4 linked regions of the Nothobranchius furzeri genome follow. The protein of the gene in region 2 interacts with the protein of the main gene of each other region in a pairwise test. Links are inferred from orthologs where the notes say so. Each region holds a gene or a part of one and is shown on either strand. Other genes may lie near its edges.

Evidence for each region.
Region 1: the proteins of RNA binding protein fox-1 homolog 2 (region 2) and rnf8 interact in binary tests that used the Homo sapiens proteins (3 or more experiments, as listed by UniProt). The two-hybrid records come from large-scale screens. The link is inferred for Nothobranchius furzeri from reciprocal best matches to the Homo sapiens genes RBFOX2 and RNF8.
Region 3: the proteins of RNA binding protein fox-1 homolog 2 (region 2) and RNA-binding protein with multiple splicing interact in binary tests that used the Homo sapiens proteins (3 or more experiments, as listed by UniProt). The link is inferred for Nothobranchius furzeri from reciprocal best matches to the Homo sapiens genes RBFOX2 and RBPMS.
Region 4: the proteins of RNA binding protein fox-1 homolog 2 (region 2) and rbm42 interact in a two-hybrid assay, tested with the Homo sapiens proteins (2 studies listed by BioGRID and IntAct). The link is inferred for Nothobranchius furzeri from reciprocal best matches to the Homo sapiens genes RBFOX2 and RBM42.

The regions. Positions count from the first base shown.
Region 1 is NC_091742.1:8,357,294-8,363,364, forward strand, and holds the start of rnf8 (E3 ubiquitin-protein ligase rnf8), read left to right. Parts: upstream 1-2,616; 5' UTR 2,617-2,747; coding exon 2,748-2,870; intron 2,871-3,036; coding exon 3,037-3,165; intron 3,166-3,308; coding exon 3,309-3,751; intron 3,752-3,959; coding exon 3,960-4,167; intron 4,168-4,597; coding exon 4,598-4,660; intron 4,661-4,795; coding exon 4,796-4,885; intron 4,886-4,960; coding exon 4,961-5,068; intron 5,069-5,154; coding exon 5,155-5,359; coding exon of another isoform or gene 5,360-5,366; intron 5,367-6,071. Other genes in the region: aida (axin interactor, dorsalization-associated protein), read right to left, coding at 127-230, 411-474, 541-595, 1,107-1,160, 1,242-1,308, 1,931-2,037. UniProt on the Homo sapiens protein: E3 ubiquitin-protein ligase that plays a key role in DNA damage signaling via 2 distinct roles: by mediating the 'Lys-63'-linked ubiquitination of histones H2A and H2AX and promoting the recruitment of DNA repair proteins at double-strand breaks (DSBs) sites, and by catalyzing 'Lys-48'-linked ubiquitination to remove target proteins from DNA damage sites.
Region 2 is NC_091752.1:66,482,171-66,486,674, reverse strand, and holds part of RNA binding protein fox-1 homolog 2, read left to right. Parts: intron 1-855; coding exon 856-962; intron 963-3,136; coding exon 3,137-3,212; intron 3,213-3,295; coding exon 3,296-3,340; 3' UTR 3,341-4,504. UniProt on the Homo sapiens protein: RNA-binding protein that regulates alternative splicing events by binding to 5'-UGCAUGU-3' elements. Prevents binding of U2AF2 to the 3'-splice site.
Region 3 is NC_091742.1:66,797,987-66,804,050, forward strand, and holds the start of RNA-binding protein with multiple splicing, read left to right. Parts: upstream 1-2,344; 5' UTR 2,345-2,801; coding exon 2,802-2,864; intron 2,865-2,875; exon of another isoform or gene 2,876-4,402; intron 4,403-6,064.
Region 4 is NC_091745.1:58,662,708-58,667,567, forward strand, and holds the end of rbm42 (RNA-binding protein 42), read left to right. Parts: intron 1-489; coding exon 490-625; intron 626-747; coding exon 748-814; intron 815-1,025; coding exon 1,026-1,097; intron 1,098-1,622; coding exon 1,623-1,777; intron 1,778-1,806; exon of another isoform or gene 1,807-1,853; coding exon 1,854-2,021; intron 2,022-2,138; coding exon 2,139-2,273; intron 2,274-2,833; exon of another isoform or gene 2,834-2,885; coding exon 2,886-3,003; exon of another isoform or gene 3,004-3,040; intron 3,041-3,380; coding exon 3,381-3,478; intron 3,479-3,600; exon of another isoform or gene 3,601-3,695; intron 3,696-3,818; coding exon 3,819-3,915; intron 3,916-3,993; coding exon 3,994-4,106; 3' UTR 4,107-4,346; downstream 4,347-4,860. UniProt on the Homo sapiens protein: Binds (via the RRM domain) to the 3'-untranslated region (UTR) of CDKN1A mRNA.

The sequences.
Region 1 (6,071 bases), on a different chromosome or scaffold from region 2:
TGCAGAGGAAGCAGGCAGAGATGAACGAAGAAGCCATGCAGCACAGCGCCGACAGAGAGAACAGAAACATGCACGGTCAAACGGACGTTTTGAGACACAACACACGAGATCGAGCAGCGAGAGTACCGGGAGCTCTAGGTGGGAACGCTTCGGTAGAACCGGCTCCTGCAGGTGCATCCTCCTCCTCCTCCAGATCCAGGTCCTCCTCCTCACCTGGAGCCAGGATTTTCCTGATGGAGAGAAAAGACCTGTCGCATCACCCGACTGAAATCATTGGAAAAGCTGTTTTTTCCGTTTCCTTTATATCAATAAATATGCTCTCTTTTTTTCCCTCTGTATCCATAGCAACACACTCCCCTGTAAATATTTAACCCTTTTTTTTAACTCTGAAGCTTTAAGATAAATGTTACCTTAATGGCACTGGCTGGACGTCGAAGGGAAACTCTTTGTTATGGCTGAGGATGTTCTTTATTACTGGAAGAAACAGGATGGTTAGAACGTTAACGACAACTCCTGCAAAATGAGTAGCTGTAAACCTACTGGTTTCCAGTTTCTTCAGGTCTTCTAACTTGAACTCTTCTTGTGATTGTGTGCACTGAGGAGACACACAGACAGGAAAAGATCAGAACTCAAGAGAAAGATTTACGTTCATGTCTTACTTTGGTAATAAATACATGAATATGATCGCCACATGCTCAGAAATTAAGTTTTGAAGGATTTTAATCACCCTTTGTGCTTTTTTTTATTTTTTTAGTTGGAAAGGGTCTTTATATTAAAATAAATATATCAAATACTGCAACATAAACGGGAAAGTGTGAAAAAACAACTAGAATTGTATCACAAAGCAATGAAGATGAAAAAAAAATCCATAAATCTACAAACCTCAAACACAAAAACTCAGACAGGAAATAAAATTACCACAAACTGCTGCAAAAGGAGAACAAAACATGATGCAAAACTGACAAACTGCCATACAAATATTGAAAATAATGACGCTAAAGCCAGAAAAGTGCACAATAACAACAAAAGTTCACAGTAACAACAAAACACATCTAAGTCTGGTTGTCCACTATCATACAAAAAGAGAAATAAGTAAGAACACAAACCTGCAAACTGGCACTTCTCATCTCCAGGCATGTTGCAATCTTTCCTAAGGTTTTCTGAATGTCCAGAAAGAAACAAGATGCTGTGATTTGAAGCAAAGCAGGCGAGTTTAGCCTGCAGACTGATGCAATTATTACCTTCTGCTCTTCTGTGAAATCTGATGAATTTGAATTTTGGACCTCTTTCTGCAGCTGCCTTGCTAATCTGGATTAACGAGAACAGTTAGATGGGTTAATCAATCAATTCCAAGACGATTTGTCACATCAGTGGGCTGTTCTGCGCCCCCTTTTGGTCAACGTGGGACACTGTCAAGTCATCTATCTGCACTAAAGAAATCTAAAACGTGTCATTAAAATGAATTATTACATAAACATGATCACATCCTGAAATAACTTGCGGAGTCTGATCTCCTCAGAGAACAAGAGAGCTTTCCTCACTGAACACACGAAACCCACCCATAACAATGAGAGGGTGTGGCTGACTGTTTCCCAACACTCTAAGGAATATTGGTTATTCTCTTCTCCTAACGCTCAGAAACAAGACATTCAGCTTTGGGTGTTTCTTTTTGTTCTTCTCCCCTCTGTGAATGAAGATGGGATGGGACTCCGCTGCCTCTGCAACAATGCCACATCACGTCATGGATGGGAAGGGTTTATTTACTGCTGTGGGGGCTGACTGACAGCTCCGAGGCTAACTTCTGCAGGTTTAAGAGCTGACAAGCTTTAAGACAGCAAAAAAATAAAAAGCTAAACAAGCCGTCCTCGCTGTTCCAGATGTTTACACTCAATCGTACAAAAATAAGACACACATGTTGAATGTAACTCACATTTGGTACTCGTCTATAGCCTCTACCAATTGTCCCCACGAGTCAAAGTCTGTGCCTTTCTTGAAACTGGCGTGCCATTTCTGAATAGTCTTGTTGACATCAGACATTTTGGCGGGGCGGATACTCGCGGCGCTCTCAGGGCAGCATAGCCGAGGTGGAGATTTATTTACGCAGCTTCGGCAGCCTGGTTATCTCCCGTCCAGACATACGCGGATAAGACCGGTGACACACGGACCAAGCCCTTTCTGCCTGTTCAACACTGGGACTTCCGGTGCAGACAGGAAGTCCCGCCCCGGGGTTAGGTGCACTCGTTTTAGGGTGCTGGGTTGCCTGACTGAGAACAAATCACAACAACAAAGTGCTCTAATTTGAATTTTCGATAAAAAAAATTCATTGCTTTAAAAAAAATTTAAACTTCATAAAGCAAAAATATATTTAATATATTAAAATATTTATCATCCAAAATACTAGCATTTACTTTTTAACGTTACTTTCATGTTTAAAAATGTCAATAAATAAAGAGTAACGTATCCCAGAAACCTATTCTATTCATACTTTTTTATTTATTTTGCCTTGTTCAAAAGATTTACAACACGTGATACGTGCCGTTATACAAGAAATAATAAATAAAACATTGATATTTATTTTAGCAGTTTCCCGTCGCTTTTATTTCGAAATGAATTGTACCGTTTTCCGGTGTCTCCCGGATCGCTACCGCGTTAGCATGTAGCAGTTATGTGACGGAAGACACACATCGACATATACATATAAGACACAACAACAGCGGAGTGTTTGGCCTGTGACAGAATGGCTTAACATGGATAGTGCAACGGCGGATTCATGTTCGGCTGAGGACGGTGAATGTTCGGACTCGGAGGTCTTGTGTCTGATGAGAGTCGGAAAAAAATCAGACTGGCTTCGTTTGTTCGAAAAGGCAGAGGTACAGTTTGCTAATGTTAGCTTAACTAAAAAAAATCATTTTCAGGATTGTGCTATGTATACATACAATAGGCATGCCATTTTATTCATTAAGTTTTTTCTAACGGCGTAGTGGACCCTGTTTATATGGAAAAACTGTAAATTGACGTTTGTTTTTGACTGCTCAGATCACTGTTGGACGTGGTTTGGATGTCACCTACCAGCTGCTGTCTTCAAGTAGTCCTCTCATGATCTCCAGACTGCACTGTGCCTTCAGACAGATAGAAGACGGTCACTGGACAGTGGTAGACAAAAAGGTAGCCTTATTTCTTGAGCTAACTCTCCTAAAATTGATCTCTAACAGATGATGGGGCTATTATTAACAGCAGCAGCTAATACCAAGTTAAATCTTAGTAAATAAGTTATTATTATTATTATTATTATTAATTATCTTCCACAGAGTCTCAATGGTGTCTGGGTGAACGGAAATCGGATTTCTGCCGATGAACCTTACCTGCTCAAACTTGGAGACTCGATCCGACTTGGAGTTCCTTTATCAGGAACCAAAGTAGAATTTGATTACATCCTCATCCGGCGACTGCTCAGAAACATTCAGCCGTACCTGGCAAAGGCATGTAGAACTTGGGCTAAAGAGCCGCAAGTCTCCAAAAAATCCAAAAGGAAGTTGACTGTGGAGGAAGTCGAGCCTTCTACATCAAAGCCTAAGCTGTACCGCTGCGATTCAGAAGGGAAATCTTTTGCAAAACCCTGTCCTCTGTCTGCGGTGAAATGCCAGCAGCGGCTCAGTAACACACACCTGGAGGAGACGGCATCCAGCACACAAAAACAAGAGCAGCACTCTGATGGATCCAGTGATCCTTGTGAAGTGGACAACCTGCAGAGGTAAAGTGTGACTCCTCGTAAAAAAGGTTCTCAATCAAACCAAAGACACTGCTCCTTTACAAGCTTTTATTTAATACATTTGCTGAATTATGTGTCACATATTCAAACAGACTCCTCTCTACTTTTAATGAAAATAATACTCTTTAGGAGTTGTCCATTCTGATGTTCTGTTGTGTAAAAGTTGTAAATATTAATGTATAACCTGCAGGTACAGCCAGAATCTCCTGCTGTTACGGGAGCAGGTGGATGACACCCAGAAGCAGGTATCATCTCTTGGAGGAGAACCCAGGCGGGCAGATCCTCTCCGACGGGAGCAGGTCCGTGAGCTGCAGGGTCAACTGGAAACCCTTAGAGCCAAAATGTGTCAAATGAAGACTTTAGAGAGAACCTTCAGTAAAACAAGGAGACAGTTGGAGGTCAGGAGTGTTGTTTTTTTTTCTTTTTGAAACATCGTTACATTTTCATTCCCCCAACCCGCAATTGCTTTATTTTACAGCGTTAGTTTAACTTTTAATTCTCCACATTTCAAAATGATTCAGCCATACTTTAAATAATCTTGGTAACGTTGCAAAAAAAAGATCTTAAACATAACAAAACCTGTTAAAGAGCTACATTTCTGCATCATATTCCATATCGATATTAATATTCCAGAGCATATTAATATTGAGCATCTTTTTTGGGGTTTCAAACAAAAGCGCCACATATGGAAAGTAACACGTTCCTCACCCTTCTTGTTCTGACATATGTGAATCAAAAGGTTCATCTGCATTTACAATTAGAAAAATATATATGTCCATAAAAATAAAGTTTCAATTTAAGTGAATCGTCTGTCTTTTATGCGTTTAGGAGCAGAAAACACAGCAGCAAGAGGAGCTAATGAAAAAACAACTTGAAGAGGCTCTTCAGGAAGTAAGAAGGTTCAATTAAACTAATTAAAAGCTGTTAACACATTTAATTTAAACTAACAGTTTTTTAGTTTATTTCTTTAAGTTTTTGATTAAATGTAATAAAAAGTTTTTTTGTGCCTGTTTTTTCAACAAACAGCAAAAGAAAGTGATCGACGAGCTTGCCGACTCTCGAAAAACATTTGAAGAAATCCTCTCTGCGAAAAACAAAGAACTAGAAGAAACAAAGGTGCCTGAAAGACACTTTTTAAAACACACATTTTTACCTTGGTTGTCACTTTGATTCATATTTTTTTTCCTCCAGGAGGAAAAAGAAAAGGCGAAAGCCCAAAAGGAGGAGGTAGTAACACAAGTCACAGAGGTTCTGGAGAACGAGCTCCAGTGCATCATCTGCTCAGAGCTCTTCATCGAGGTAGAGCCAGGAACCTGTTTGGGATCATCTTACTCACAAAAACCCGACTTCACCTGCTGAAATTAAAAAAAAATGTCCCTGTACAGGCGGTCATCCTGAACTGTGCTCACAGCTTCTGCTGTTACTGCATCAAGTTGTGGCGCAAGAAGAAAAACGAGTGTCCCATCTGTAGACAGGCTATCGAGTCCCAGACCCGGTGTCTGGCCCTGGACAACTGCATCAACCGTATGGTGGAGAACCTGAGCCTGGACATGAAGGCCCGGCGGCAGACGCTCATCACTGAAAGGAAAGGTGAGAGGTGTGTTCTCATCATCCACGCCAAACTCATAGAAATGAATCATCCATCTTTGATCTTCACTCATTTATTCTGTTGGAACGTTTCTTTAACCCTTACAGACATTGTTTATATATATATATATATATATATATATATATATATATATATATATATATATATCTTATTTCTGATTATAATCCGTCACTCTCGAGTTTTTCATGCAGGGTGCTTCTCAATGTCAAGGCGCCTTGCTAGGCCAGCAACAAGTCTGTTGTTGGTTTAGCTTCCAGGAAACAGCAGAGAACATGTTAGCTAGTAGAAGCTAACCATTAGCATTAGCTACATCACCACATGGCAGAACTCCTTCGGGCTTCAGAATCAGAAGGGTTTTATTGCCGTATGTGCGAGAAATCAAAACATTAGGAAATTGCTGCGGTACTTGGTGCAAAAAGAACAATAAAAATAAGAGATAAGTAAATATAGGAGGTAAGAATATAATCTTGATAAAATAATAATATAAACTGGCAATAATTAGAGAAACGGCTACTATATACAAGACAGTGTAGGTACTGATCAGAGCGGATCAGTTCAGGTACAAACAACACAGGGTCATGTGACTGAAACCAAGCGACTGGAGTGGGCAGCCCTAGGATTGTCGTTCTTGAGACCAACTGCAGAAGGGAAGAAACTGTTCTTGTGTCGAGAGGTTCTGGTCCTCCTGCCAGA
Region 2 (4,504 bases):
TCTTAAAGCCTGGAGGAGAACTTGCTCTCTTCCTGAATTAACCGGCCCTCGTGGGATAATAAGTGAAGCGTATCGTCTGCTGCATGCAGACGCACCCAATAACAGCTCCTCATCCTCCTCTTCCTCTCACCAGCAGATCCTACCACTATTAAACCCCCACCCCTGCAGGCCTCTTCCAGTGTGTTTCTGTTGGGCTTTGCTGGTTTCTATTCACATCAGGCTCAGATGCAGTGTGTGTGTGTGTGTGTGTGTGTGTGTGGGGGGGGGGGGGGGGGGGGGTGTTCATTTTTAAGGTCTCGACTAACTCTGGGTCATGCATGGAGGTGATTTTAGTGTCTGTGTGGGGGTGTGTGTTTCTGTGTGACTTTGTTTTCCACCTTCCTCTCTGTGTTTGTTGTAATCACACATAAACACAAGTAATCAGATTACTAAATGTGTCGAACATCCTGTGGAGTCAGGCTGTCGGCGGTTTCCCTCCACAATTCCAGTTTTCTGTCTCATCAACATGTCCTCAGCTGCGTGAGCGTTTCATCTTCCCCTGTTTTTACCTCCCTCTCTCCCTAGTACTCACACAGTTTCCCTTCTCTCTCTCTCTCTCTCTCTCTCTCTCTCTCTCTCTCGCCCTCTCTCTCTCTCTCTCATGTACAAAATGTCTAGCCCCACATCCAACGCCACATTTCCACATTCAGCACATCCTATCTATTGTAAATGTGGGGAAACGTTTGTGTTTGTAGTCCTAAATAATCTAGTTGTGTGCTTATTTTAAGAATGATTACATTTCTTCCTCGGAGTCATGCCAGTTAGCGCGTGTGTGTGTGTGTGTGTGTGTGTGTGCACGTGTGTGTGTGTTTCCAGGGAGGCTACCCTGCTGCTGCTGCCGCCGCCGCCGCTGCCGCCTACCGCTACGCTCAGCCTGCAGCGGTAACCGGAGCAACCGCCGCAGCAGCCGCCTACAGTGACAGGTGAGGCCAGCGCAGGACACACACACACACACACACACACACACACACACACACACCACCAGAACATAACCCAGATCCTTCTGTGATAAATAAAAATAACTCACTAAACCTTGTTTAGTTACTGTGAGCATTCAGATGTTTTTTAGCCCAAGAAATCTAGACAAACTTTAGCTAAAGGCTTAGCTCTGCAGAGCGGTCTGCCATTGGCTTGGCTAAGTGTAGGCGGGGCCAATTACAGCGCTCTTTTTATAGATACATTAGACGGGCTTAGCAGCAGAGCTGCAAAAAGCTAACTTTTCCATGCACAACACCTTTAGCTACCTGCAGCTCGGGCACTGCAGGACACAACCCACTGTAATGTAGTTTGTTAGCAGCTTCTGTTCATTAGCGTATCTTCTGCAGTCGGCTGGCTCCGCGTTTTTGTCTGAGTTCGCGTCACCAAGCTGGCGACATTTGAGCTCTCCAGAGGAGACACGTAAGCGCAGCGTTAGCGCTGCGTTACAGCTGCATCAGAGCTGCTTTAGCTCTGCGTTAGAGCTGCTTTAGCGCTGCGTTAGCGCTGCGTTAGAGCTGCTTTAGCTCTGCATTAGCGCTGCGTTAGAGCTGCTTTAGCTCTGCGTTAGAGCTGCGTTAGCGCTGCGTTAGAGCTGCTTTAGCTCTGCATTAGCGCTGCGTTAGAGCTGCTTTAGCTCTGCATTAGCGCTGCGTTAGAGCTGCTTTAGCTCTGCGTTAGAGCTGCGTTAGCGCTGCGTTAGAGCTGCTTTAGCTCTGCATTAGCGCTGCGTTAGAGCTGCTTTAGCTCTGCGTTAGAGCTGCGTAAGCGCTGCGTTAGAGCTGCTTTAGCTCTGCGTTAGAGCTGCGTAAGCGCTGCGTTAGAGCTGCTTTAGCGCTGCGTTAGAGCTGCGTTAGCGCTGCGTTAGAGCTGCTTTAGCTCTGCATTAGCGCTGCGTTAGAGCTGCTTTAGCTCTGCGTTAGAGCTGCGTTAGCGCTGCGTTAGAGCTGCTTTAGCTCTGCATTAGCGCTGCGTTAGAGCTGCTTTAGCTCTGCATTAGCGCTGCGTTAGAGCTGCTTTAGCTCTGCGTTAGAGCTGCATTAGCGCTGCGTTAGAGCTGCTTTAGCTCTGCATTAGCGCTGCGTTAGAGCTGCTTTAGCTCTGCGTTAGAGCTGCGTAAGCGCTGCGTTAGAGCTGCTTTAGCTCTGCGTTAGAGCTGCGTAAGCGCTGCGTTAGAGCTGCGTAAGCGCTGCGTTAGAGCTGCATTAGCGCTGCGTTAGAGCTACTTTAGCTCTGCGTTAGAGCTGCGTTAGCACTGCTTTAGCTCTGCGTTAGAGCTGCGTTAGAGCTGCTTTAGCTCTGCGTTAGAGCTGCTTTAGCTCTGCGTTAGAGCTGCTTTTGCTCTGCGTTAGAGCTGCTTTAGCTCTGCGTTAGAGCTGCTTTAGCTCTGCGTTAGAGCTGCGTTAGCGCTTCTTTAGCTCTGCGTTAGAGCTGCGTTACCTCTGCGTTAGCCTGCTTGCTGCGTCTTGGTGTCCGAGTCCTCGCCTGCCGTAAGTTGTGACGTTAATGTTTTGTTTGGATATTAGAGGAACTTTATAAAGTTAAAACTAAGCCACTGTTATTAAATTTGAAAATCTCTCTCAGGATTAATTAAAAATGTTATGTTTGCTGTTTTAAAAGGTTAAATCCGAATTATTATTTTTTTGTCTCCTGATCCGATCCTTTTAGAATCTTGTTATTGGGCCCGACTTCCGATCACATGATCGGATCGGAGCTTTGCTGCAGATGTTTTTGTGCAGTTTAATCTTCCTCAGACCGCCGGCAGCTACTTGTGAGGGAGTCTCGAAGCCAACAGAGCTAAAACACGTACAATTATTATTCTCACATTACTCCGTTTATGCAGGTTTGTATATTTGAAAGAGCACACACACACTCACACACAAAGACCCTACATAATTCCTGGAAGTGGGAAAACTCTGGATTGTGTCTTTAATTCTTACTGACTGGATGTTTCTGATTCTGAGAATGAGAAGCAAAGTGTTTTATACAAATGCTGGATTGAGTCTCTCCTGCTGAAGTGTGTTCAGAAGCAACATGAGTCCGACTTCATGCACTTAGACGCGTTTGAGACGGAGTCATGTGTGAAAGGTGGAAGTTTCAGCTCTTTGTTTCGCGTTTGCAGTTACGGTCGGGTGTACACCACAGATCCGTACCACGCTTTAGCTCCAGCTGCTGCCGCCTACGGAGTCGGCGCCATGGTGAGTTCCCGCAAACACAAAAGCTGTCGCATCAGGTCACAAAGTAAGAAGCTGTCTAGCGTTTGTTTCCTTGTGTTTTCCAGGCCAGTTTATACCGAGCGGGATACAGCCGCTTCGCTCCGTACTAAAACCACATCCAAGGAATTTCTCTGCTCCGAAACCCCGTCTCCAGCTCTGCGCTCGGCAGCAGCTCCCCTCCATTTTTCTGCAGACTCACGTGTTTTTGTTTTGTTTTGGGTTTTTGCCCGGCGTCCCTCCCTCTCTTTGTGGCGAGAAGCGTCCCTGCCACGTCTTCCCCTCGGCCCGTCCTCCTCCGTCTGTCGCTGACGTGGAATCGAAGGAAAGGATGTTTTTCCTTCACGCAAAAGTTGGATCCAGCTGCTTGGAACTGCAAAGGCAGGATTCTGGGATCCTTTTTAAAAACACTACGTGAGAGGGGCTGCAGTTCCTGTGTGACCCAACGCACTACAGTCCCTCCCTGTCATCCCCCGTTCCTCTAATCTGACACACACACACACACACACACACACAGTTAGCTCGTCCCTGCGGCGTTGGACTTGACGCACAGACAGCTCCCCCAGAGTACTACAGTACACTGGTACTTGTGTTTTTGAGCACTACGACGACACGGAGCTTCTACCCACTACCGTAATCGCATCTGTTTATAAATAAAGCTATAGTGAAAAATCTGCAGCTGAAGGAACGCTCCACACAGAAGATATAGGAATTATTGTTTCTTTTTCTGATGAAAATCCAACTGAAAGGACAAATGAAGCCACCGATGGACTCCATCCGCGTCCCGTCTGGTCGTTTTTAACCCAGACGTGGAGCGAAGCCGTGGGAAACCAGACGCGTCGCGCTCAGATGTGTGAAAGCCAGTTTTTGTTTTTCTGCATTACCTCAGCTTCTCTTTTCCTTTCTCTGCCTTTGAGAAGAAAAACCATCGTCACTTCTTCGTCCTGCAGCATGACTCGTGTGGAGCTCAGCGGCCTCCTCCTCCTCCACGATAATTACCGGAAACGGCTGAACGCTGTCCATTTCGTTCTCCTGGAGACGAGGAGAAGATCAGACGAACTCCAGGACAGGGAGGCACGCGTCATAAAGTGTGTGAAATGATGGTTTTCTCATCCGTCTGTAGTTTAAACCTCATTTTCATTCCAGTGAATCCCGGCTGCACCTGTCCTGTTGCGTTTTAGAGCTAGCTTGTTGTTGCTACCTGCCTTTTGTTGGTCCCAAAGATTTTGTAGAAGAAAGCACATTTTTTTTGGATGTATTACTTATTTCTGTGGTAA
Region 3 (6,064 bases), on a different chromosome or scaffold from region 2:
GTCTCAATAATTTCTTTAATGAAAAACAGTTAATTAAACAAACTGCACTTAATATAATATCAGTCCTAACTCATTCACTGCCAATGACGACTAAAGTCATCATTTGCATTTTGTTTTTACTGTTTGAGCATCGGAACGAGCTCCCACAATGAGAAAACAAACATCTCAGCCCTGAGGCCGATATTCATCCGTATATGTCACACGTCACATGATCAGGAAGCAGAACATCCATGTGTTAGGAGATCGTTTTGGGCCGTTCCTGTAAAAAAAAGTGAGGCGCGAACCGGAAAAGCGTCTGCCGATCACAACTCGACAACGGATTATGAAAGAATGGATAACGCTCGAAACACGCGGATTCTTCCTGATGAAAGAGGTGAGTCTCCTCTTTGTTTTGGTTGTTTTGGCATTGACATCATCCTAGCGCGCAACGTTCTGTGTCTCTTAAAAAAACAGTAAAAACGGCGAGAAACACTGGCAGCGAAGGCCGTTAGCGATCAGGAAACGGCTGGCAGCGAATGAGTTAAAGAGCAAGTCACCCCCTACCAGAGTCTTACTCCACTCCCACTTCTGATTTGAAAAATTCAACAGACGCTGTCGCCTGGCAGACCAGGATGGCGGAGCCGCTAACAAATGCACACACTCAGGCTCACAATGACATTGTGACATCATAATGTACCAGCTAAAGTCATAGGGTACCTTCTTAGCCAATAGCGATGGCAGTTTTAAATTCAAATGCAGTGCAGAGTTTTTACCTGAAGAGGGCACAACACTGACAGTTTTAAGCAGAATATTTAAATTTGAACTAAGATTCACTAAAGTGCCAAAGTATTGACTACACGTGTCTATAGCATGGTTGGACAATATAGTTTATCAGCAAAAAAAAAAATAAATTTGATTTGGGGATGACTTGCTCTTTAACTGTCCTTGTTTCTGTTCTTTGCTTATTTTAACATTGAAACTTTTTGAATCTGCAAATACATTTAATTTTCAGACAAGGAAAGTCTGAGTAATTACATTTTTTTCATCACTGACAGAAAAAAGGGTCCAAAACAATCTGTCCCATTGTGGAAAATTAGTTCCCCTGCTCGTTAAATCATGAATAAACTGTGATTTATACAACCCCTAGCAACACACAGAAATCACTTGAGCAGAACCTGTTTGCTACACGAAGAAGGCTAAAATCTCAAAAAGCAACACATCGCGTCCCGTTCTAAAGGAGTTCCAGAACAAAATAACCTAGAACAACATCTAAAGCACGGCATGACTCTGCAATAAGAAAGAAACTACATAAATGGCACCATGGAATAACTTCAAGGCCAGAACCCCCACTAAACAAAAAGATCACAAAGACTCGTCTCACATTTACATTTGCAAGATAAAGTATGTAAAAGTATCTCAGTCACAACAACAGATAATCTGCTTAAACTAAAACCACACAAATAAGTTCCCATGTTCTTATTGAACACATCATGTAACCATTCACCTTGCAGGTAGATAAAGGAGTCAATCAATGAGATGAGCCTGGAGGTGTTGGTTAAGGCCATCCTGACCTATAGAAAACACACACACACACCAGCTTTGAGTTTGCTTTAGATGGACTTTGTGAAAGGTGTGCAGTTGAGGAGATAGTCGAGCGTGTATTCGTCAGATGTGAGAGATATGTCCCCACACTGGTGGGGATGAGCTACAATGTAGCCACAGCTGCCCTGGGGTGCACTGACAGGGGCGAGGCTGCTGTACACAGGCATCACCAGTCCCTCCGATCACCAGCAGCAGGCAAGGTGGGTTAAGTGTCTTGCCCAAGGACACAACAGCAGCATTCTCTGGTGGGAGCTGGGATCGAACCTGCAACCCTCTGAATACTGGATAACCCACTCTACCTACTGAATTAGACTTTAACCTTTGTGTGTCATAAAAATATTGAACCATAAAAAATAATTAGTTATAACGCGAGTGAGTGAGTGAGTGAGTGAGTGAGTGAGCGAAAGGTTATTTATAGCAACCACAGAAAAATGTCACAGAGTAATTCACAAGGAAAATCACCCAAGAATCAAGACAAAAAAAAAAGAATAAAGTATAGTAAAAATATGAAAAAGATCAGTTAAACAAAAATAAAACTAAATGGTTGAATAAAAATAATTAAAAACAAACAGTAAAAGTTTAAGCAAAAGTCATTTGAAATGACCGGGTCTTTTAGGTATTTAAACGCATAAAACCACAAAATCACATTTTTTGCGTATTTAATAAACAAATGTGTTCTTACAGCGTGACAACACGAAGCAGCGCGTGAGGAAAACGTTGCAGGAATGTTTCAGGGACTAAAATAACATCTGAGCTGGTTTTCTAGATGATGGATGCAGATTTTCCGGTGGAGGGTAAACGCTGCATCCCACCCAGACCCCTCCCTCCGCGGCGCGCGCGCGGACGTTACGGACTCGGAGATGAAGAGAGGAGGAGAAGTTCGCCTCCGGCGCACGTACAAGGAGCATTAACTCCGTTTCAGGAGGGGGAACAGCAACAACAAGCGCCTCCGGTAAAGCTTTCCAGGGAATGCTGAGGAATACCCGACAGGAGAGGAACACCGCTCACAGCTGACTCCTGTTTTTACCGCTTTTGATACCAACAAAGAAGAAGAAGAACCAGAAGAAGATCAGCCGTTATTGATGCGTACTGGTAGAGTGCGGTGAGAGAAGGACAGCCGGACTCCCTCTGACTGTCTCGGGGAGCTGCTTTTGTCATCATTCGTGGGTTTTGGAGAAGAGCAGAGACCAGAGAAGAAGTGAAAGTGTCAAAGACTCAGAATGAATAACAACAAAATCGAGAAAGAGAACGAGCCGAGTGAATTCACCAACCACGAAGAGGAGGTATGTATCCTACCTGCTGCCTCCGCCGCGCTACAAGGGGCGTCAGGGGGGTTCGTGTGACTATTTTAGCCGCCGAATTCCTAAAATATCTGTTTTCAAGAGAAAAACGAGAAGAAACCAAACTTATTCAGCTTCTATCTAAGTTTCCTCCACCACAGCTCACCAGGTTTCCCGCTATCAACTTTTTGTTGTGAACATCTTTGAAGTTCCTGCACCAGTAAAGCCAGACAAAAGTCAGAGCGTTTGTGATCCGAGGTAGAGTTTTCAGCCAAGCCGCTGAAGTTCAAACATCTGCCGCTGCAACATGTTGGCAAGAGCTCTTAAGTATCCCAGGCTCACAGAGGAGAATATCTCCTTTCATAACCGGGGCTTAATTTAATCTAAACACACCAGATTGATGCTGTTTGTCTGAAAACACGTGATATAATTGTGTTTCTCTCTCTCCCCTCCTAAATGGATAAGAGAATGGCCCAGTTTCTGTAAACATTGCACAATCTGGTTCAGTGATATCTCTTGTTGTGGATGTCTGTGTTTGGGGTTTATTTGCTTTGGCCCTTTTCTGAGCTCCACATCTCCTCAGAGGAGAGATGGAGACGTAGAGGAGGTGTATCAGATATTTCTCTTTTGGAGTAATCTGATTAGTGTCGGTGCAATGTAACTGAATCGCCAAACGGACTGACTTAATACCATATTTGGTTCGTGGCCGAGGTTTCTATGGATGCACTGTGGGTCTATGCAATCAAAATTACCATTTTAGAAGTTCATAAACTAAAAGAAAACAACATCTGTGGGTGTTTTGTTTGATCTGACCAAGAGGAAGTGCTATACAAATGGAGTAAACCTCAATTCTGAAAGCAAAAATCAAAAATTTCAGTCCTATGTGACATAAATAGTACATTTGATCTCTATCTTCATCTTACAACATTTCATTGTCAAATGTTACATTAAAGTTCCAGTCCCATTAGTCACCACTCACTGGTGTAATTGCATCTCTGCATTTGACCCATCCCAGCAGCAGTGTCTGCGCTCTGGAACTATTGTATGGTTTAATCTCCCAATCCAACCGGGATGTGAACCCCGATCCCCCAGTCCCAGGGTGGACACTCATACCACTAGGCCGCTGAGAAGGTTTAAGGGTATCCTCTGCGATAAATACGCATCGTCTACACACGTCTTTAGTCAGTGTCTCTCTGCTGACAGGGACTAGTCCCACCTTAATGAGGAGGGTCTTTTAGGGAATATGAGGCAAAAAAAAACTGCAACAGCCATTCAAATTTTCTCGTTATGATTTGGTAACAGTGTCCTAACTGTGTCCCATTTTGTTGGCCAGTTTTCCCTCATTTGATATGTTGATTTCATCATCAACCATTTCAAAAGCTGTCTCTCATTTTTCTTCCTTTCTGACTCACGGAAATTCAATTTAGAAAAGTTCTGGACAGTTTTTTGAAGACCACAGTGATTCGGAATGTTTTCGGTGAGGAAATTTATCTGAAAACACAAGTTCAGCGACAACACTCGAGGAAGTCCTTGGAAATATGGTGAGAGGTTTTGGAAACTTTTAAATGCAGTTTGGTCCTCAAGAGCTGTATCACAATGAGATACTTGTGTCTTTATTCTTGAATCACAACTCTCCACACATTATTGCTTCCACTGTCACTGAGATCAACAAGCACTGAGGGTTCATTAACATACAGCTGTTGTAGATCTCCCATCAATACTGGAATTCATATCAGTGTAAAAATAGCCAAAAACCTGCAAAAAGATATAAACTGGCCCTCCTTTTTATTCAGCGTAATAAATATTTCACATTTTTGTAATCAGTCAAACTTTGGAAACAGTTTGACCTTGGATTTTATTCTGGAAGGTCTCGTTTTCATAGGTGGAATACATCAAACACTAATCAGCAAATGTCAGTTATTTAGCGATTGGTTTGTTTGCAGCCTTGTGTTGTTGGGCAGTTAAACCTCTCAGCTCGCCCGTGGCGCACGTTTGAATTTCTATCATGTCCACGAGCCGAAGGACCAGACGGGAGCCGTCTGTAGCCAGCGCACAAACAGGGGGGAGTAATGGCCAGAGGAATCTAATGTCTTAGAAATGTTTGGAACTCATCCAGGACAGTAGACACTTACATTTCCTCGGATGAATTAACATAAGGTTAGACCGCGGCACTTTGTCTTCGTGGAAACAGCATGTGGTGTTAGTGGGAGATCAGTGAGGCTTTCGGGGGAGTTTGTGCTTTTGACAGGCTCTCTTGTGGACATGCTTCAGGTAGGTTTTGCACAGACGCACACGGTGCTTGGTATAATAGCAGGACGAGTTTATGATGGGGAGTTGGACTGTCTCAGCCTTTTAAAATCTTCCCTACGCTCCATCAAATACACCAAATACCTAACCGCTGTAAGTTTAACAACACCATAGCAACTGTAAACTGTAACCTTATAAGAGCTAAAGTTTAACAGCCTTGCTGGTGTGACTCTCACATGCTCCCCCCCCCCCCCCCCCAACCCCCACTTCTACACACTCTCAAGTCAATGGATCACTGATTCGCACCAGTAAAGCACTGTTGCAAGCTTGGCTCCTCATGCCTACTTCATTGCTCAACCTCCAAAGCTCGATGATGCTTAGTGTTTATCTTTCGCGGACCGGCGCTCAACCAAACATGGGCTTGTTGCAGGGCGAGGTATGCAGGTTTCGGCCCCCGCGCTCCTAATCTAAAGAGTCGCTTTGATAAGAATTATTATCAGGTGTTCTGGATGCTTTACGTAGTGCAGCACTCAGCCGACGATGGAGCTGAGGTGAAATATGGTCGCCTGCATGGTGAATGTCAAAGATATGTTGTAGCCAGGGCCAGTTTCCAGACCTTGTTTGGATAAAGGAATTTGGAGTGGACCCTCTGTAGGTTTGGAATAAACTGATATGAATAGGGCTTAAGTAAGAAATTATAATTTTATTCAGTTTAGCTAAGAAAACAATGACATGGAGTATATTTACTAACAGTGAGACTTCCAGGCCTTTTTGTCCTATCAGGAAGGAGACGCATTCAGACAAAGAGCAGACGCTCGGAGATGCTGAGTTCATTGTTTTTGATCAAGATTTAGGCCAATTTAAAAATTTCTTCTAGACTTTTAATTAAACAGATGCTGATGTATTTTTTTTTGTTTCAACCAAAACTGAAAAAAAAAACTGATGAGTTCACAATG
Region 4 (4,860 bases), on a different chromosome or scaffold from region 2:
AGGGGCTGACAAACTTGACAACCCAAAAAGCCCCCCACCCCAGTTGACCCTAATAAAATGGGTTCGGAAGCTAAAGAGCCATTTTGGAAGCTCCAAAGCTACTCGTGGCAATCAGTGGATCCTGGGAAAAGCAGAATCAGCTGAAAGAGCAGAACAAAGCTAACTCAGGTGTTTGCTAACCATTAAAATTAAGTCCCGTCTGCCTCGGGGGCGGGCATCTAACCTGAGAACCCACCCAATTGGCCAAATGGGTGAAGAGCTCAAGTTGACTTGTTAAAAAAACATCATGCTTCTGTTTGATTGACAGAATGCATTATGTGTAGCAAACTTTTGAGTTGACCATTCATTGTGATATTTATCTGTTCTTTGCGATATGCATATTGCGCATGCTGATATCACGATAACGATAAATTTGCGATACATTGTGCAGCCCTACCCACTACTGTGATAGAAAAAAATGTTCTCTTTCAAATGTAATTTCCTCTGTAGTTTTGAGCAGGAGGTTCTTGGTGGTCCAGTGCCGATATCCGGAAGTCCGCCTGTCATGGACCCAGGAGCCGTAGCTCTGGCTGTCCCAGTCATTTCTCTGGTGCGACCGATTATTGGGACAAACACCTACAGACAGGTTTGTGTTGTGAATCAATCCTTTTTCTCTACCGGTGATTAATAAACTTACAGAGAAAAAATGGTCAATTTATTGATTGAGAAAAAGCTCAGAATGCTTTTGACCCCGTTCTACCTTCTCAGGTCCAGCAGACTCTAGAGGCTAGAGCGACTAGCTTTGTTGGCCCCCCACCAACGTTTGTGGGACCAGGTAATAAAATCCATGCTGTAAGATTGCCTTCTCTAAATGCTAAAGAAAAATATTGCATCACGGTTTGTCAGTGTTTTAAATGCATCGTAACTGGATAGAGTTATTTTTGATGCTCTTTAAAACGTGAGTCAAACATGCTTCTGTTTTACAATAACAAGCTAAAGTTGTTCGTGATGGCGTTCTGATGTGATGTTCTCTTTCTGCTCACCAGTTCCCTCCATTCGTTCACCTCCACCTCCCATCATGAGACCAGCCTTTGTTCCACACATCCTGCAGAGACCCAGTAAATCCATTTTCTCTTTACTCACCTAAATATCTTCAACATGAAGATAATGACCAGTGGAGCGACAGATGTTCCCACTGGGTCATTAGTCATGATGGTAGGAGGAAGCAGCCTCTGACACGACCGTGTTTTAAACATCAGACAGAAATTTGAATTGCTGGAGTCTTTTCTCTGGGCTAATCACAGATCAGGATAACAGGTGTTTGGTTTTTGATCAGCTGTGGGGACAACTGAGCTACAAAGAACGACCGACTTTTGGACTGGCTGGTCTTTGGTTAAGCTGAATTACGTAAAATAATCTGATGATGGACAACAGAGCTACCAGATTTAAATCTAACATAAAAACAGCTTATTTTATGCTGTGATGTTCATGTTTTCAGTTGTTTGGTCTTCAGGGTTGAATGTTAAGAGATAAAATGTGACATTTAGCAGAAGTTCCTGTGGAACTCTGAAACATCTGGACTCCTGGTGGTTTGTTCCTCCTCCTGTTGAGATGGGGTGTTTATGGTAGCTCTGTGTTGATAGGTGGTCAGAGGATACCGATGATGCGCAGTCCTCCAGTAGCACCTCCCCTACCACGGCCTCCTCCCCCTCCCCCCATGATGGTTCCTCCTTCCCTGCCAGGCCCGATACCTCACGGTCCCCCACAGCCCATTCAGCACATTGCAGCCTCTCCTCAGGTAAAGAGACGATATCCATCAGCACTTGGTTGCGGAGTATGCATCATTTATTTAGTTGTTCTGGTGTTGTTCTCAGGTTGGTGACATTGTCCCGATGATGCCAGGCCCTCCAAGATCGGTGGGCCCGCCCTCCCTCAAACCAACGCCATCCATCATCCAGGCAGCACCAACGGTGTACTCTGCTCCACCTGTGACGGTTGGACATAAGAGAGTTGATCCTCAGGCCCAGAGACAAGCCAGAATGGTGTCTGCACTCTGATCAACATCTAAACATGTTTATCTGAAGTATTGCATCTAAAATAACTAAACACTGCCACATGGGAAGTGACTGTGAGTGTGTGTGTGTGTGTGTGTCCATCAGGAAGAACTGGCAGCACGGGTTGCTAAGCAGCAGGCTGCAGTATTGGCGGCAGGCCTACTTGACAAGAAGGAGAGTGATGAGAGCAACTCTGTGATTGGTCCAAACAGGCCTGAGCCGGAGCCCCCTCACATTGAGGTGATTATAACATATTGTTATCTGAATTGTGTGATGAAAACATCTATCAGTGGTGACGAGATGTATTATTCACTAAAACAAAACTCTTGAGTCTGTTTCCGCCTTCAGATTCAGGCCCAGCGCGAGCGCATGCTCCTCACAGCAGACAGAGACAGAGAAACAGCTTTAGTCAGAGTCTATGTTCACTCCTCAGAATCGGGAGTGATAATGAATTGAAGCCCCCGCTGGCAGATTCTACCCGCCAATCAGCTCCCCCAATGGTAGCCGTGAATTTGAGCCGGCCAATCAGTCGGCAGTGGGTGTGTTGGACCAGTTCAGCCTGAAGCAGACCGCCTTGGGAATTGGGCCGAAGTAAACAACCGGTTGAGCACGTAAAAAAAAAAATCCAGGCTACCCAGATGTCAACACTTTATACCACACCTGGGTGGAGTAGAGCCAGCCCTTTAGTTAGCTCCAGTGGCAATGGTCATTACATTACATCTCTAGTGATTATTTCTAATGTGAAAATTTCACAACAGGCCATCAGAACTGTAAAAATGTGAGAATATGAATTCACAAAGTTTGTGTGTGTGTTTTTATTTTTATTTTTTTTTTATTGTTTATCTGTTCCAGCCTGTGGAAAGTTCTACAGAGGACAAGAAGAAAGGCAAGAACGAAAAGGTGAAGAAGTGCATCCGTACAGCAGCAGGGTCCAGCTGGGAGGATGCCAGTCTGCTGGAGTGGGAGTCAGGTAATCCCTGCTGGCAGGAACTGAACTCTATGGAAAGCTGGAGTCAATAGAATGAGAATGATTAAAGAGCAAGTCACCCCCTACTCCACCCACGCTTCCTGTTTGAAAAATGCACCTAAAGTAGGAATCGCCTGGCAAACCAAGAGTGGTGCTGAGGCAGTGACTGACAGCGTCACCCTCAACCCCCTCACCTCAGAGAAATGGGCCGATAACAAGCGCGCACACACACACACACACGACCCCTTGGTATACGTTTTTTGAGTAGGAGCTCCAGGGTGTCTGACCCAAATGAACGGTTCTGTAAAAGCTGGTGTTATTTCTCCTGTTTTTAAAGCTGTCTGAGAACTTTGGTGATTCATGTGTTTGAACTGTTTCAGATGATTTTCGTATATTTTGTGGGGATCTTGGTAATGAGGTCAACGATGACATTCTAGCCAGAACCTTCAGCAGATACCCGTCTTTCCTCAAAGCAAAGGTAAGCCTGGCTCTGTAGGTTTCGGGGTTGGTTAGTGTTTCTCACAGGACTGGTCGGTTTGGATAATCATTGTTTAATAAATCTATACGAAGTGAACGAGTAGAGCACATAAAAGTTCAGACCTTAAAAGAGCAGAGAACGTAAACAGGAATGGATCCATCAAAGAAGCTTCAGTAGGATGGGTGTGCAGCTCTCCTTTCCAGTTACAGAAAGTGACCTGAAAATTAGAATTGGAGAGCTTTATTGCAACAAAGGCAAGTTAGAAAAGAGATAAAGGGTTTAATCCTGTTTGTGGGTAAACAAATGTGATTCCATGGATTCATGAAATGATCATTTCTAGGTGGTTCGAGACAAACGGACCGGAAAGACCAAAGGCTACGGCTTTGTCAGTTTCAAAGATCCAAACGACTACGTCAGAGCCATGAGAGAGATGAACGGTGAGTCAGGTGACACCACACTAATCCCAGGAGTCCTGGGGACGTGTTCAATCTGAGTGGGTTTTTGTTTTTCTCCAGGGAAGTATGTTGGGAGTCGCCCCATCAAGCTGAGGAAGAGCATGTGGAAGGACCGAAATATTGAAGTGGTTCGCAAGAAACAGAAAGAGAAGAAGAAACTCGGCCTCAGATAATGTTCCGTGTGTGTGTGTGTGTGTGTGTGTGTGTGTGTGTGTGCGTGTTAGGGATTACTGGCCTTTTGGCAGTCCCATCAGACATGATGCTTGAGGCGTAAGTGTGATCAGAGGTTAGTTTAGGTTTCGTGTGTCATGTTGAGTTAGTTGGGACTTCCTTGTGGGTCAGAAGATTTTGAGAAAGCTAGAAACTGTTTTGACTTATTTTACATCCTGTAATAAACTAAAGGGTTAATGACACCCCTGCCTTTGTTCTTACTTCCACCATCTGCTCTCACTCACTTCTAGATTAGCTCATTGCAAAATGCTTTTACGGATAAATAAATTGGTATGTATTCAAAGCAAAAATCTGGAGTTTGTTGTCAAATCTAGAGGCAGAAAAATATATTGCAGCATAAAGCCCTCTCTCCACTTCCATGATCACAGCTGGAAGCAATGCCTCTGGTTTGTGAACGAGAACCTGTAACAGAGTTAAAACAAATTCTGTTACTATGAATAATCCACATTATGCTGTTTACTCGTGTTTTTAAAAATGTGTCCATGAGAAATTTTGCCATCTTTGCATCTGTCTAGATACTTCTGCACATGCACCCTCTGTGACAGACATCTTTATGACGCTAATGCTGAGCAGCGCTCTACTGGAGTTGCATGGGGCTCTACGGGACAAGAGGCTAAAGCTACATATCACATTCAGTTCTGAGATCATTTTAGTTTTCTTTTAAGACGAAGTTCAAATAAACATGAGGCAAATGTA